2 linked regions of the Lytechinus pictus genome follow. The protein of the gene in region 2 interacts with the protein of the main gene of each other region in a pairwise test. Links are inferred from orthologs where the notes say so. Each region holds a gene or a part of one and is shown on either strand. Other genes may lie near its edges. The genes, in order: eukaryotic translation initiation factor 4E-like and ATP-dependent RNA helicase cgh-1-like.

Region 1 (7,458 bases), on a different chromosome or scaffold from region 2:
AAATAAACTTGCATTTTATTTTTTTCAAGTTGCAATAAACATTCTAGATCACCTGCCAAGTATAAAGGCAGCTTTCTCCATTATGTAGATGAATCCCACTACAGTGTCTGGTAATACAAAGTTTAGTTATTGACTGTATGGCTTATTTGTACGATTGATCATACACAATAATCGATGCAATCAATCGTAGTAATCAGACCCACCACCAATCGCTCAGCTTTGTGTCAAGGGCCACTGCAGAACACTTTGACTATGGCCGCCAAGATGGCCTCCTCTGATGCCCCTGTGAACATGTTTTAAGCCACATACATGTATACAAGGGAAATTCCAAATGCCGTTTCCATAGACGAGTGGTCTTTGTAATCATTAATGATTATGTACCACAAATAATTTATATTTTTAATTTGTTTTTATTATTTTTTATTGTCTCACCTGCAAAGCAGAGCGAGACTAAAGGCTCTGTTCCGACGTCGGTGTTGTCAACATTGAAAACTCAAACAAAATAAGTTTTTGAAATGTTATAACTTTAAATGTATGTAATCAAAGAAGAACAAAGGTACTTCCAGAGGATTAGAGCCATGTGTGGTGCTAGGTCAGCAGATGAATGATCTTTTCCTAGCCTGGCCATACTAGAAGCCCCCCCCCTCCCCAATTAAAATTGCCATTATTAAAAAAAGGAACCCAAAGTGAATTGGAGGTCCATGGATACTTACGACCAGAAATCTTCTACTGTATCAAATGCTGTGACGATTCTAAGGTTTTCTGTCCATGATTTGGCTTTGTCATTCTTGAAGAACCACATAGACCATCTGCTCTGTAAGGGATGTTTGATGAGACTTTCTGGATCTACGGCTTGTTGGTCGCTTTGGAGATCTTCTTCTTGTTGCTGCAGATGCTTTACACCCTTCCCATCTTTACTAATATCCTGTGAGAGTTACAAAGAGAGAGAGAGAGAGAGTGAGAATTATTGAAACCAACAACATCACATCAGCATTATCTATGTGATTAAAAATAAATTCCAGTTGTGGCAACGATTTCAAAATGAGTGCGTACAAAATTCAATAAGACGACTACCCAAGTGTCTTTTTCGTATACGTGCCACAGGATTCTGGGAGAAATTGTGCAATTACTGAGAAACAAGCAATAATAGAACAGAGAGATTATCTGAGTAGTCAATCTTCACTGTGATTAGCTTAGATTTCATGATTTCACAAAGTTCAGTGTAAGTAACTGTACTACTACATGTAAATTATCATCTATGATGATATAGTGATAATTCACCTTGGTTTAACAGACTTACTCATGAAATCAGTGATGAGACCTAGGCTATTTCCATGATATTTAATACTGTGATTGGTTTGCATCATTACTACATCATCACCATCACCATCACCAATACCACCATCATAATTATCATCATCCCTGCCACCTCATCATCATTATACTCATTTAAGATGCTTCCTAAAGCAAGTTTAAACCTCTGTTTATATCCAAGTTCTGTCTTCTCTTTAGATCATCATCATCATCATCATCATCAATAATCATCATCATCATCATCACCAAATATCCTTCTCCCCACTCTAATCCAGTCCTGAGCACTTTCAATCTTTAAACCTGCTTGAAGAAATGGAAAATGTTTAGATATCTGCTGTTATTGGTGTTTTTATCATCATCACACCACCATCATCATTTCATCATCACCATCATCACCATCATCATCATTATCATCACTATTATTTCATCATCATCATCACTGAAATCAATGCCATATTCTTCAAAATTCAAATCCTAATCATATTCAAATTGCAGATTTGCCACTAAATATTTGTTAAGTTTCTCCAATCTTATGAATTCATATTATATTACTTATCTCATGACATAAACTGCAATCTCTTAAATACTACTTTTTCTCCACATTACTCATCAGCGTGGTTTCCTAAATTTTAACAAAGTTTGAGTTACAAAAATTATATTTTGATATGCATATTAATTTTAAAATGTACTTGCATACGATGTATGATTTATATATGCCTCTCTTTCTTTTTTCATATTTTTCACTTTCCATTACATCCCTCTTTTACCTCCGGCTTTCACCATAGGCCTACTCTCCCTTCATCACATTCAACTTCTCTACCTGCCTATTCTGCCCCCCGCTAATAAATAGGCCTACCTTTTAAAATTCAAATTCAAGTTCAAATACTGCCTAGAGATCTACTTCCTATCTTTCATGAACCTGCTTACACAGAGATTGAGAATGGTAAGATATCTGACCGCGGTAGATAACTGCCATTATTGGCTTGTATCATCACCACCATCAATCCATCACCAATGATCACCATTATCAGGGACAGTATCACCACCATCATCATAATCATTTTTCTCATCGTCACCATCTTCATCTAGATAATAGATCTACTTTTCATCACCACTACACCAGCATCGTCTTCATCATGCTGCCAGCTTAGCCTTAATAATATTTTAACCTGCTTTTAAATTCATGTTACTTCATCACTTGCCAAAACTAAAAGTTAGAATAGAAATGACAGGATGAGGATTGGGATTCAGAACTGGAAGGAAACTGAACTCTCACTCAGTCTCAGTCTCACAACAGACTGCACAGACATGAGACAGAGCCACACTCAACTGACTGACAAACGTTAAATTTCCACTTTTTTGGTTTCAGGAAGCTCTAACGTTACTTCATTCTCTAAACCTGTCTCCTGTTTTTTTGGTAATGAAAGTTAGGTTTTGGGGGAGGACTGCAATAGCCACACAAAAACTTGGCTCAGCTCACATACCAACACAACACGAAATTCACTCCGACCTCTAGCAATTCAATGAACGTGGCTGCACAATGGCAATGCACATGTTCCACTCAACTCAGCATATCAGCGCAAGACAACCGGCGAAATTATCACCGCGAGCCTCCTTACTCTTTCGCTTTTATCTCATAAAATAATAAAAACATCGATCATTACGAGATGTGAACGTAGCATATGATATCAGGAAGCGATCATTAATCGTTAACTCAGTTAAATGGTACAGAAATGCAAGAAAATTACCTCGAGATTAACATGCTTTGCTATATTCACGGAAGCCATTTTCCTTATGTTCCAATTTTGGCCTTCTGTCGTAATGTCACGTGGTACAATCAGGTGGAAATAGAATTGATGAAGTGACCACCAAGTAGAACATAAACGTCACACAAATTTGTCTTGGGGGTCGTGCCTCGAAGGAGGAGGAGTGCAAAAGAAAAAACAAACTAAGGGGGGGGGGGGATAATCTGTCAGATCTGCTGTATTAAAAAAAAAAAACACACAATGAATCGACTGTAAGTAGAATATTGCGCATATGCACATCTCATGCAAATGACAAAGACATTATCGACTTTTCAGTGGTTGTTTATTTGAAGAGGTAGTCCTGTCACTTCTAAGCTTTATTCTTATATAAATCAACATAAATATATAATCTCTTAAGCCTTATTTGAATAATGCGAGCGCGAAGCGCGAGCTATGTTTTATTTCATGTATTTTGTCCTAAAATTTAAACATTCTGGGCAATGTTTGTGATCCTAAATGAGGTGTGTATCCAACTAAATAATTACTGTGAGCGCGAAGCGCGAGCAGAAATTTGTAATGTACGTTTTGATCCGATCAAAAAAGGATTTATTAACGGCTGCTCGTTAGCCAAGAAGACGTTACATATATTTCAACAATCAAATAATGCAAGTGCGAAGCGCGAGCTGAAAATTTTGACATGCCTACCTGAAGTATGGAATTCTACGAGCACTTTTTGTATTCGTGAAAAGGATAAGTATATAACTAAACAATTGATGCGAGCGCGAAGCGCGAGCGGAAAAAATCAAAATTTACACTTAAAAGTGGGACACTCGATCTATTCATGTTTTGTAAATCATGAAAAAGATGAGTAATTGGAAATGTTCCTACATTAATAATGCGAGCGGAAACATTTTGATATTGCATATGATCTGAAACTGGATAATGATTTAAATAGAGAGAGCAAGCTGCGTACCTGAATAAGATATATGCGCGCGCGTGTCTCAGATTTCGACCTAGAATCTGGGCATTCTAAATACCTTTTTTTTTAATCATGAAAATCAATAAAGCGAGCGCGAAGGGCGAGCTTGATATATCGATCTGAAAAGGGGTCAATTTAAGCTCTTGATTTCAAGCATATTGTAGGAAAATTGAGAGGCAGACATGGATCACACTTAAAAAAGAGCTGATATGTTTCATTACTATTACCCTGTAGTAGGTCCATGCTATTACTTTGGCTTTTGACATATAACCGGGACATTTTAAAGGACAAGTCAACCACAACAAAAAGTTGATTTGAATAAATAGAGAAAAATCCAACAAGCATTACACTGAAAATTTCATCAAAATCGGATGTAAAATAAGAAAGTTATGACATTTTAAAGTTTCGCTTAATTTCACAAAACAGTTATAATTATGCACATCCTGGCTGGTATGCTAATGAGGAGACTATGACATCATCCACTCACTATTTCTTTTGTATTTTGTTATATGAAATATTCTAATTTTCTCCTCATTGTCAAGTGATACAACGATTAATTCCTCCCTGAACAATACATGTGGAATTAGCATTGTTTAATACTATATGGTTCAGTCAAGTTTGTCCTTATTTTCAAATCTGTAAAAAATGAAATATTAATTCAAACAATAAAAAACAAAAGAAATAGCGAGTGATGGACATTATCGACTGAGTCACCTAGTTGTGCATATGACTGTTTTGTGAAAAATAAGCGAAACTTAAAAAAGTCGTATAACTGGGCGTTGTTGCGTGCGCCTGTAATCCAAGCTATGTGGGGAAGTTACAAATTGATGCAGAGGTTCGAGGTGATCGAGCCCCGGTCACGTCTTTCGGATGGTGACGTTAAAGGTCGGTCCCAGACGTAAATAATCATATCTGATTGATACACGTCTGACAAAACTCAAATACACACACTTTATTTTACATCCGATTTTGATGAAATTTTCAGTGTTATGCTTTATGATTTGACCTTTAAGAACATATGTCATCATATAGAATGATGACTATCTTCCTATTTCTCTTCCTAAGCGCGAGATGATTTGATTATTAAATTAATATCTTATTTATTAATCTATAAAAAGACTAATGCGAGCCCGAAATCTATAATGGCCTGAAAACTGGACATCTAAAGCACTTTTTGTAATTATTAATAAGATATGAGTTAATATATTTTCAACAATCAATGCAAACGCAAATCGCGAGCCGAAATTTTTGATAAACTGTCATGAAATGGTTTGTTATATAATTAATATTGAGATATACATAACCCACCAATCAAAATTCGAGCGTGCAGCGCTAACTGATACGTTTTGACAATCTGACCTGAATAGGGATATTTTGAGAACTTTATGGAATACAGGAAAATAATAGGTACCTGACAAATCGAGTGCGCAGAGCAGAGCAGAAAATGTTAATATTCAGGCCATACAATATATATTTTTTTACAGAGCACTATTTAAAAATCAATTTGTAAATCAAACAAAATAATGAAAGTTCGATTTCTGAGCTGAAATATGTTTTGTATATAAATCACCTAAAAGGCAATGCGAGCGTGAAGCGCGAGCGAAACTTTTATATAGTGTCACGAAAGATTTTTTTTATTATAATTTTCCAAGTCTTCCCCTCATCTTATTCTTTAACTCGTCTTCCTTCTTTTATGTTTCTCCTTTCTTTTCCCTTCTCTTTTTTTAAATATTATTTCCCAATTTTTTTCCTTTTTATGCTCCGCCAATAGGGGGGGGGGGGGGCATTGGCGGCGGAAGCCAAAAATTTTAGGGGGGGACTACAACAATTTTTTGACAACCAAAAAAAAAAAAGGTTATCAACAAAAAATTTAGGGGGGATCGTCCCCCCCCCCCTGGATCCGCTTATGACACCACACAACACAAATAGCGCATATAGAAAAGACGGATGCCGCACCTTAGAAAAGGGGATGCTTCCCCCTCGGCCTCTGGCTCACAAGTGACATATATTATCCTTAAAAGGAAACCAAATATAGCATTTGTTTGTTTCTTCTTTTCTTTGTTTGGTTTGGCTGGCAAAAATGCAGTCAAGATATTTTGCCACTGCTTTTTTATATATAGTGGTTTTTTTTCCTTTGAAACTTGAAGAATGGCTTCTTTTCATTTAGGTTATTTCATTTTCTTTATTTTTCCTTCACTTTTTCTGTGCTATTTTTTTTCTTATTTCCAATTCCTTTCCTTTCCTTTCCCTCCATTCCCTTCCCTTCCCTTCCTTTCTTTTCCTTTCATTTCCTTCTTGTCTTGTCTTTCTTTTTTCTTTTCTTTTCTTCCTTCTTTTTTCTGATCGCTATTTCTTCCTTTTCTCACTTTACCTCTTCTTTTGTATTTTCCCCCTGCTTTCTGCTTTTGTTTTGATTTTAAGTTTTTTTTTGGTCCTGTAATTTTTTCTGCTGCAATATCACAACAGAGAAAACAAAACCGAGTCGATTTGGGGCCTGAGTGAAAAGAAGTGAAAAGTACAGGGGGGGGGGGGTCAGCAATTCCCTCCAAGATGACTGCCGTACTCTCTTTTGTGGAGTTTTTATTATTATTATTATTATTTTTACCTATCAATTATTTTGTTTATTATTATTATACAGTAAAACGTTATCATGATACATTTAAATTATCAAAAGGAAATGATGTATTCTCACCCCAGATTCTCACTAATCATGAAAGAACACATAGGCTAGGGGCATGTTGCATAACATTTTCGCCATAAAAAAACCTCTGGCAAATGAACAAAAATTCTGGCAAAAACTTCCAGATTTGTTTTCTTTTATGCAACATGTCACTATGTAACAAACGACTTGGTGAAAGAATAAACTCTGTTGTAGTGCGTGGCCTCATAGTTCATTGCTGAGGGACGGTAGCAGAAGACCACTCGTGCTTGTATTGTAATCCTCTCTAAAAAATATTAATTTTTACTGATATTCGGGTGACATCTATACGCTCAAGATGGCAGACGGAAGCGAACAAAAGTCTTTACCAATTTACACTGTTGATGCCTTTGCAAGTGCTCCATTTACGGGGAATTCTGCTGCGGTGTGTCCTATTTCAAGCGCCGAAGAGGTACGGTATTTCGCGCGGAAACCCAGGGCCAGCTGAAGGCACCCTTGTGGTCTCAGGGTACGGTGGTCTCACTCTGAGTCGGAGAGCGAGCGCGAGGTGCATACCGGGTACTGCATACTGAGGCCTGCACGGTAATTGGACAAAAGTTTTGCGAGCGTTTACGACCACGCCCCTCTACATCAGGATGGGATCTGAAATCTGATTTAAAAAAACATCAATTATATTTATACATTAAACCATTTGAACATAAAATCAAACATTTTCTAGTAGATCCATCTCTACTAATCAAGACTGACAAGAGTCTTACTAG
Region 2 (7,643 bases):
ACCATGAACAGGATGGGTATCTATTTAAACAATTATTGTGCGAGCGCAGAGCGCTAGCTAAAAATTATATTCTGACCTAAAATGTTGACATAAGCGCTTTCGGTGATCATGAACAGGATGGTCATTTAACTAATTAGCAATTGATGTGAGCGCGAGCTGATTTTTTTTTTATTTTCTACCTGCAAAATTTGGACATCCTAAACACTTTCTGCAGGGGCCGCGGAAGCGGGGGGGGGAGGGGGGCTTCAGCCCCCCTTTTTTCCAAAACCGTGTACAAAAAACGTAAAAATGACCATATGATTGTGATTTTTTGCATGGTCAGCACCCTACCCCAGCTTTTGGCCCCTGTTCTGTAATCATGAATAGGATGGGCATCTAATTAATCGATGCGAGCACGAAGCCGCGAACTAAAATTTTTTTATATTCCGACCCAAAACTTGTGATTCGTTCTAAGCAAATTTTTGGGACCATGAACAGCGGATGAATATCTATCTAAACAATATTATGTGAGCCGAAGCGCGAGCTGAAAATTTTGTATATTCTAAAATTGTAGATTTAAAATTTGGACATTCGAGTATGCATTTTTTAGTAATCTGAAATACGAGTGTAAAGTCCGAGACTTTTGGTTATAGAACTTTGGGGAAAAAATAATGGCACCAAAATTGTGGAACAATCTGCCTCATCAATTCTTCTACATGCATAAAGACTATATGGTATTATGCGTCTCTAAGAACTGCCTATTATTATTATTATTAATCATGAACAGGATGAGTATCTAACAAAACAGCTTATGTGAGCGCGAAGCGCGAGCTGAAAATTTTTGATCTATCGACCCAAAGTTGGACATTTTATTAAAGCATTATCTGACCACGATCGTCACCCTACTAAACAATAATTGATGGCGCCCCTATAGGTCGAACATCAATTCGACGCCCCTCGGTTGAACATCAATTCGGCGCCCCTAGGTCGAACATCAATTCGACGCCCCTCGGTTGAACATCAATTTGGCGCCCCTATAGGTCGAACATCAATTCGACGCCCCTCGGTTGAACATCAATTTGGCGCCCCCCCCCCTCCCCCTATCTCGAACATCGATTGGCGACAGTATAAGTATAACATAAATTCGGCCCCCCCCCCTTCTCTCTTCCTTTTTTTTTCCTTCTCTATATATATCTTTCCGTTTTTTTTTTCTTTTTCTTTTTTTCTTTCCCTCCTTTTTTCCTCCCCTGTTCTTTCCCTCTCTTTTCTTTTTCTTTTTGGCGCCCCCTTTTCGCCTACCGGGGGGGGGGGGGGCGAAGCGTGAGCGGAAAAAATTAACCCAAAAAGGGAGACACTCTATTCATATTTCATAAAACATGAAAAAGGTGGGTAATTGGGTATCTTCCTACGTTAATAATGCGAGCACGAAGCGCGAGTAGAAAATTTTTGATAATCTAATCTGAAACAGGATAATTTCACGCACGTTTTCGCTGCGTATCTCAATATTGTGCTCGTGTTTTAGATGTAGGCATAGAATCTGAGCATTCTACATGGGCCTACATTTCTTTTATTATGAAAATCAGGCGAGCGCGAAGCGCGAGCTAATCTCTTAGTACTTTTGTAAATATTTTTTTCATCAATTTTCCTGCCTTTGTACTTTGTTTTATTATGTTTGTTTCATATATACATGATATAGGCCCCTTTCACAAGCTTTGCTTCTATGCCGGGGCCCAAACCCTATCAAGTCTCTTGTTTGATTGCGGAAAGTGGGGATGTGACCTCCATACTCTAATCAATATTCATGATGACGTGCATATTTAAAATACAATATCTTCGCTATTCAGATTTTGATGAAAAAATTTCAGCATTTTGCTTTGTGACTCGTACGGATATTTCAGCACGGATTATCCCTTTAATTGAATTCCGAGTGTCTGATTTCAAAATATGACGATCGATATCTCCGGAAAACGATAACGCGTGAATTTATCAGAGCACATTAATAAATTCAAGTGACTGATGCATGGGTGTCGATCACGGGGGGGATGGGGGGGGATATATCCCCCCCAATATTTCAAGTGGGGGGTGGTCTGTATTATCATCCCCCCAATAATTTAGGGTAGAAAATTTATTATAATGATGATGATGAAAAAATGAAAAGTTTGATCATGATGATTATAGTGATGATTATAGTATGCCATCAATCAGTTTGTTTCCCTCGCAATTCGTGTATATTGTTATTAAATAAAAACATTCTTTTCTAGGACTTTTAAACAGATGGGTGGAGGTTCAAGATGAAAAAGAATGAAATATTTATGTATATATGATATTTTTTAACACATGACATAAAAGGACCCCGACGAAAAACAACTTTTGTTGATAGAGTGTTCCATCCCACCAGTGGTAATATGATCATATTTTTACAATTTTTTAAAAAATGAAATCAATTAATGGTTTCAGATAGAATAATCGTTCATTTCTCTCTAAAGCGTATCTTCGGATATGAACATCGGATGTTTTTTTTCCCATGATATTCTTGTTATTGTTATGGACTTGAATAACTAAACTTGATTGATTTTTTCTTTATTTTGGCAAAAAGAAATCTCTTTTGAGTTTGGAAAGGGATGACAGTTTTGCATTCTATATGAGCACACTCATGCGGTACGTAAATTTCATTTTAAAACATATATTAGCTGATATTACACACTGATGGTTCAAGAAAATGTTGGAGAAATATCATAACATGACAGTTGAGTTTTGATTGTTTTTATGTTTGTTTTTGTTCCATGCACTTATAAAGCATTTAAAACATGTTAAAATCCAGGGTTAAAATCGTCTAAGGAATGACGGTAAGCCCGATGGCGCACGAGAAGCCACACAGTTTGTAATTTGTGCTAGTCTTAATTTGTCCGAATCTGCATTTTATCATCATGCATTAAGAAGAAAAAAGATATTGCCAGTCGGGTTAGATTTAAGAGAGAAGTTGTATACATCATGTTCAATAAACAGATCACTTTGTACATGGTCCAGACAATTTTTGTCATTATTTCTTTCGTATGAGTTTAGAATAGGCTTACTTGTAACACAAATTGAATTTTCAAAAAAAAATTATATAAGTACAGTACACTGCAACAATGAAAGAATTTCCGAGAAATTACAGTGGCGTAACTACGGGGGGGGGGGGGGCATGGGGGGCACGTGCCCCCCCCCCCATCGGCTGGCAAAAAAAACGGGGAAGAGGAGAAAGGAAGAGAAACGTAGTGGGAATGAAGAAATTATTGTTTATTATAATGTTATATTATAATAATGTTATGTTATAATACATAAGAAACATTTTTTCATAACTTTATTTTGCTCAGGCCTAGATGTCTTCATTGTTCCCGGTACTCGCATTGTCTGTTTAAAGTCAATATACACCAAATATATTTCCTCGCACTTCGACTTATCATTGTTTTATGTAGTGACATATGGTTCTTTTTCATGACTACTTAAAGTGATTGCCCCATTTTAAGGTATTAATATAAAACATTTCCTGTCCGTGCTTACGTTCGCACTAGTAGATTGGTGAGATATGTCTGCTCTTCATGAATTCCTAAAAATCAGTCCTAAAAATGTCCCTTTTTCTGATCTGAATATCAAAAAATTTCAGCTCGCGCTTCGCGCTCGGATCATTTGTTTAGTGAAATACGTATCGTATGGTCTTAGTGAATTCTTACAAACAGGCCTTAGAATGCCTCTCTTCAGGTCTTAATATTCCAAATTTTCAGCTCGCGCTTCGCGCTCGCAATATTTGATGAGAGATGCGTATTATCATGATTACAATGACTGCAAAAAGTGCTTCATGTGTTTAGATGTAGCAAAATCAGCAATTAAGCGCTTTGCACTCGCATTAGATGACTATGGTGAGATATGTATACTCTTAATGGATTCCTAAAATATAGTCCTTAACATGTCCTTGTTTGGGGTCAATATTTACAACAATTTCAGCTCGCACTTCGCGCTTGCATTGTTTGTTTAGCGAGACAGGTATGTATAATTACAAAAATTTGCTTAAAATGTCCTTTTTTGGTCTGCATATCAAAAATTTTCAGCTCGCGCTTCGTGCTCGCATTAATTGAGCAGTGAGATACATATCCGTTTAATGGCACTGTCTTTAAAATGTACCTATTAGGTCAGTATACCTGGCAACTGAGCGCGCTTTGCGCGCTCAGTCACCAAGTGACTCAAAATTATGCTGGTGCCCGGCCCCAATGCCGTGACTCACGGTACACCACTAGCTGCAAGAACACCACTCCCAAATGTCCTAACTTGTGATTTTAGTGGGGGTAATGTTGAAAGATCCCCATCCACAAGAACATTTGTGTCCATCATCCCCCCCCAACCAAGAATACCGATCGACACCCATGGACTGATGTATGATATTGGGCGGGGAAAAGTATAGCGCTATATTTTATAGGACCTAACTTCAATTGGGATTAGGGCCTATAATTATATTCATTTTCATCGATCTTGCTAAATCTTTTTTATTATTTCTTTTATACTTTTTTTCATATAAAAAACAACAAAAACAATTTTTTTAAAGTCAATAGGCATATATATATATTATTTATACACAACCCAAAGATTATAAGGCATTTTCGAACCTTCTTTTACAGTCTGTTGCAGCGGGGGGGGGGGGGGGGGGAATAATAATCCGGCGAATTGACAAAGGACGAGCTGCCCGGATGCCATACACAAAAGAAGAAAACAGTCTACCGGTACCTGTTTTGTCTACGGTACTGCACTGCAGCACTAGCAAATACACTGTGGACAGAATTTCGTATGCGTATACACAGACGGCCATTTTGAACCTTCTTGTATTGTAAGTCGAACAACCCGTCTCTAGAAATCCGTCTTAATCTGTGTTGTTCTGAATATGCTACTTTTGAATGAAATGTTTTTCGAATGATGTGTTTTATACGATTCTGATATGTCACATTTTGGGCATTTTAAGTGTTGGCAAAGTGTATAATTTTGTTTGAGAATATGGGTTTGAGAATTCGGTCGTAGCGTACCAGGTAGTTCATACAGCGTCATAATATAGGCTAAAATTGTAAAATATGAGATTGAAACGTAATGGGATGATTGGAAAAGGACCCGCTGTGCCCTTCCCTGACAAAAACACTTCATCTTGCTTCTATGAAGTTGAAGTGGAATTAATCTTTATTCTCGGGATCTGCTAAAGGTCTTGTAGAGATTGTTGTTAATGTTGAGAATTTGGGACTTTTTATTTTAATTTTATTGATGTGACCTGATCAGACCGGGCAGAGCGAGATATTTTTTCAATTTTTTTTTCTGAAACATTTTTTATTCTAAAATTTCTTCTCACGATGTGAAATTTGCCTCAATTTTTGTTCAATAGGTCAATAATACGGCATGCCAATAATAATACGATTTTTTTAGCTGCAGCCGTCTGTTCTGAGACAGGAGTTTTTAAACATTTTTCATCAGTAGAGGCGCACGGCCAATATGGGAGACTCACTCCAATACTAGGCCTAGGGGAGACAATCTCCCACATTGGAGACTTGCTTTGCAAAAGGACAAAAGAAACAACTCCAACAAAAGCATGATTTTTTCCACCCAAAATTTTGTCTCACTGAGGTCAGAAGCCCATTTGTTTTGTGTGTGATTGACAACAAAAATCCTTATCAAAACAAAAGTAGACGGTGAATTTTTAAAGTAGACGGTGAAAAGGGGTAATTTTTCATGAGGAATCTGCTTATCACATTTTTATTTGCCGCCATTTAATCCTTTTGCAGCAAATGTAAACAAAGGAAATTGGACTCAGATTGTCAGAAACTGGAGACTGTCTCTGAAATTGGATAGGCCTACCCAAATTCTTTACCAAAGTCTCTGATATTTGGAGATAATCTCCCACATTGGAGACAGTCTCCAATATTGGCCATGCGCCTCTACTGTTCATGTAATAAAACTAATATTTTTAAATTTCTCCTCGACCTCGTAGACGTAGTCATACAGACGGCTCGCTATCGTGCAGCCACCATTAGGGGGTTAACAATGCGAAATCCCCCCCCCCCCCCCCCCCCGGCAGTGCTCATCGATTTTTGTCCTTATTTCATAATCATACAAAGAACTGTCAAACCAAAATAAAGATAATTCCGTTTTGGCCTAAAATGCACCAAAACGGGGAAAAATAAACTTAGGAAGTTAGGGCCTAGGCCTATATAAAAGGGGAAAAAACAGTGACTTCGGCTGTCACGCAAATTCACTTCCCTGTTTTATCCGACCTTAATACACAAACATATGGCCATTGAGTCCCTGTACAGATCGAGCTAGAACTTTGGCCTCTGTATTTTGGTGAGTGGAGCCAACGGAGTTCAGCGGAACAGCCAACATAACAGAGACTGAAGCTTTTGGGTCTAGGCCTATATTTTTCTAGGCTTCTAGCCTAAGTTCATGAAGTTTGATTTAAAACTTTTGACTTTTTGTTTGAGCTTCGTCTAAAATCTTCAAAATGTAAAGTTAGACTTTTGCATTGCACGTGCTAAAGTCGATCATATGTCGTGTCAGTGCGTTGGAGAGCTGATGATAAGTGCTGTACCACACGCGATTTTCAATCCGGAAGTTGCAGACTTTCGCTCAGATTACGGCGTACGCTCGGAGCTCCTGGCATGACTGGCCTGTTCGAATGAAGGCAACAATCACAACAACACGGTTGTGACGGAATTGATGTTGACCGTATTTATGTGCAAATTCAATGCAGTTTAGCGTTATCTTTGTTTCTTTTATGAGTTTTCATATGGAAGATGTGATCGTTTATTTGCAAGAAAACTTGGAACTTAACTGTGATTGCTTCATTTTTAGCACATCTCCTTGCGATCCTGTTTCTTAAGTCTGAGCTAAGCCTCTGGAAATGAGTTTTCAAAGGGGATATTGTGACTTTCCTGTGGTGAGTGAATGTGTTTGGTGTGGGTTGTGGTGATTGCCTTCTGGCTTGTGAAATGATACGTATCGTGGCACATGTTGAATAGGGCACGCTACTCATTCAATTTGATCAATTTTATTGGCAAAGTTAGACTGGATGATCATTTGCTGATGTGAGGTAAGCGACCCCAAATTCAACGTGCACCGAGACTCGACCGCCAAACTCAGTCTCACGAGCCAGCTCATTCAATCAACACAAACCTATGGCAGAATCGCAAATTAGATACTTGTCCGCACTTCACATGTGTGCTCTACCGCCACACCCCAAGAAAGTCTTGGTTTCAACTCCAAAATCTGCTCTTGGGCTGTGAAAAGCCAAATTCTATGCCATAAAAATTGCTGAATTTACGTCATTTTTCTAAAGCGCATGGTGGCTTACAGTATGTAGCTCAGCTCAGCTTGCTTGAAGGACAAGTCCACCCCAACAAAAAGTTGATTTTAATAAAAAGAAAAAATCCAACTAACATAACAAGTGCCCGAAATTTCATCAAAATCAGATGTAAAATAAGAAATTATGACATTTTAAAGTTTTGCTTAATTTCACAAAATAGTTGTATGCACATCCTTGTTGGTGTAAATGAGGAGACTCATGACGTCATCCACTCACTATTTCTTTTGTACTTCATTATATGAAATATTCAAATTTTCTCATTGTCAAGTGAAACAGCTATTAATTCCTCACG

The links.
Region 1: the proteins of ATP-dependent RNA helicase cgh-1-like (region 2) and eukaryotic translation initiation factor 4E-like interact in binary tests that used the Drosophila melanogaster proteins (3 or more experiments, as listed by UniProt). The link is inferred for Lytechinus pictus from reciprocal best matches to the Drosophila melanogaster genes me31B and eIF4E1.

The regions. Positions count from the first base shown.
Region 1 is NC_087262.1:23,051,261-23,058,718, forward strand, and holds the start of eukaryotic translation initiation factor 4E-like, read right to left. Parts: upstream 3,137-7,458; 5' UTR 3,102-3,136; coding exon 3,063-3,101; intron 926-3,062; coding exon 714-925; intron 1-713. Other genes in the region: phenazine biosynthesis-like domain-containing protein, read left to right, coding at 7,035-7,148. UniProt on the Drosophila melanogaster protein: Recognizes and binds the 7-methylguanosine (m7G)-containing mRNA cap during an early step in the initiation of protein synthesis and facilitates ribosome binding by inducing the unwinding of the mRNAs secondary structures.
Region 2 is NC_087252.1:4,883,983-4,891,625, reverse strand, and holds the start of ATP-dependent RNA helicase cgh-1-like, read left to right. Parts: upstream 1-4,554; 5' UTR 4,555-4,837; intron 4,838-7,643. UniProt on the Drosophila melanogaster protein: ATP-dependent RNA helicase which is a core component of a variety of ribonucleoprotein complexes (RNPs) that play critical roles in translational repression and mRNA decapping during embryogenesis, oogenesis, neurogenesis and neurotransmission.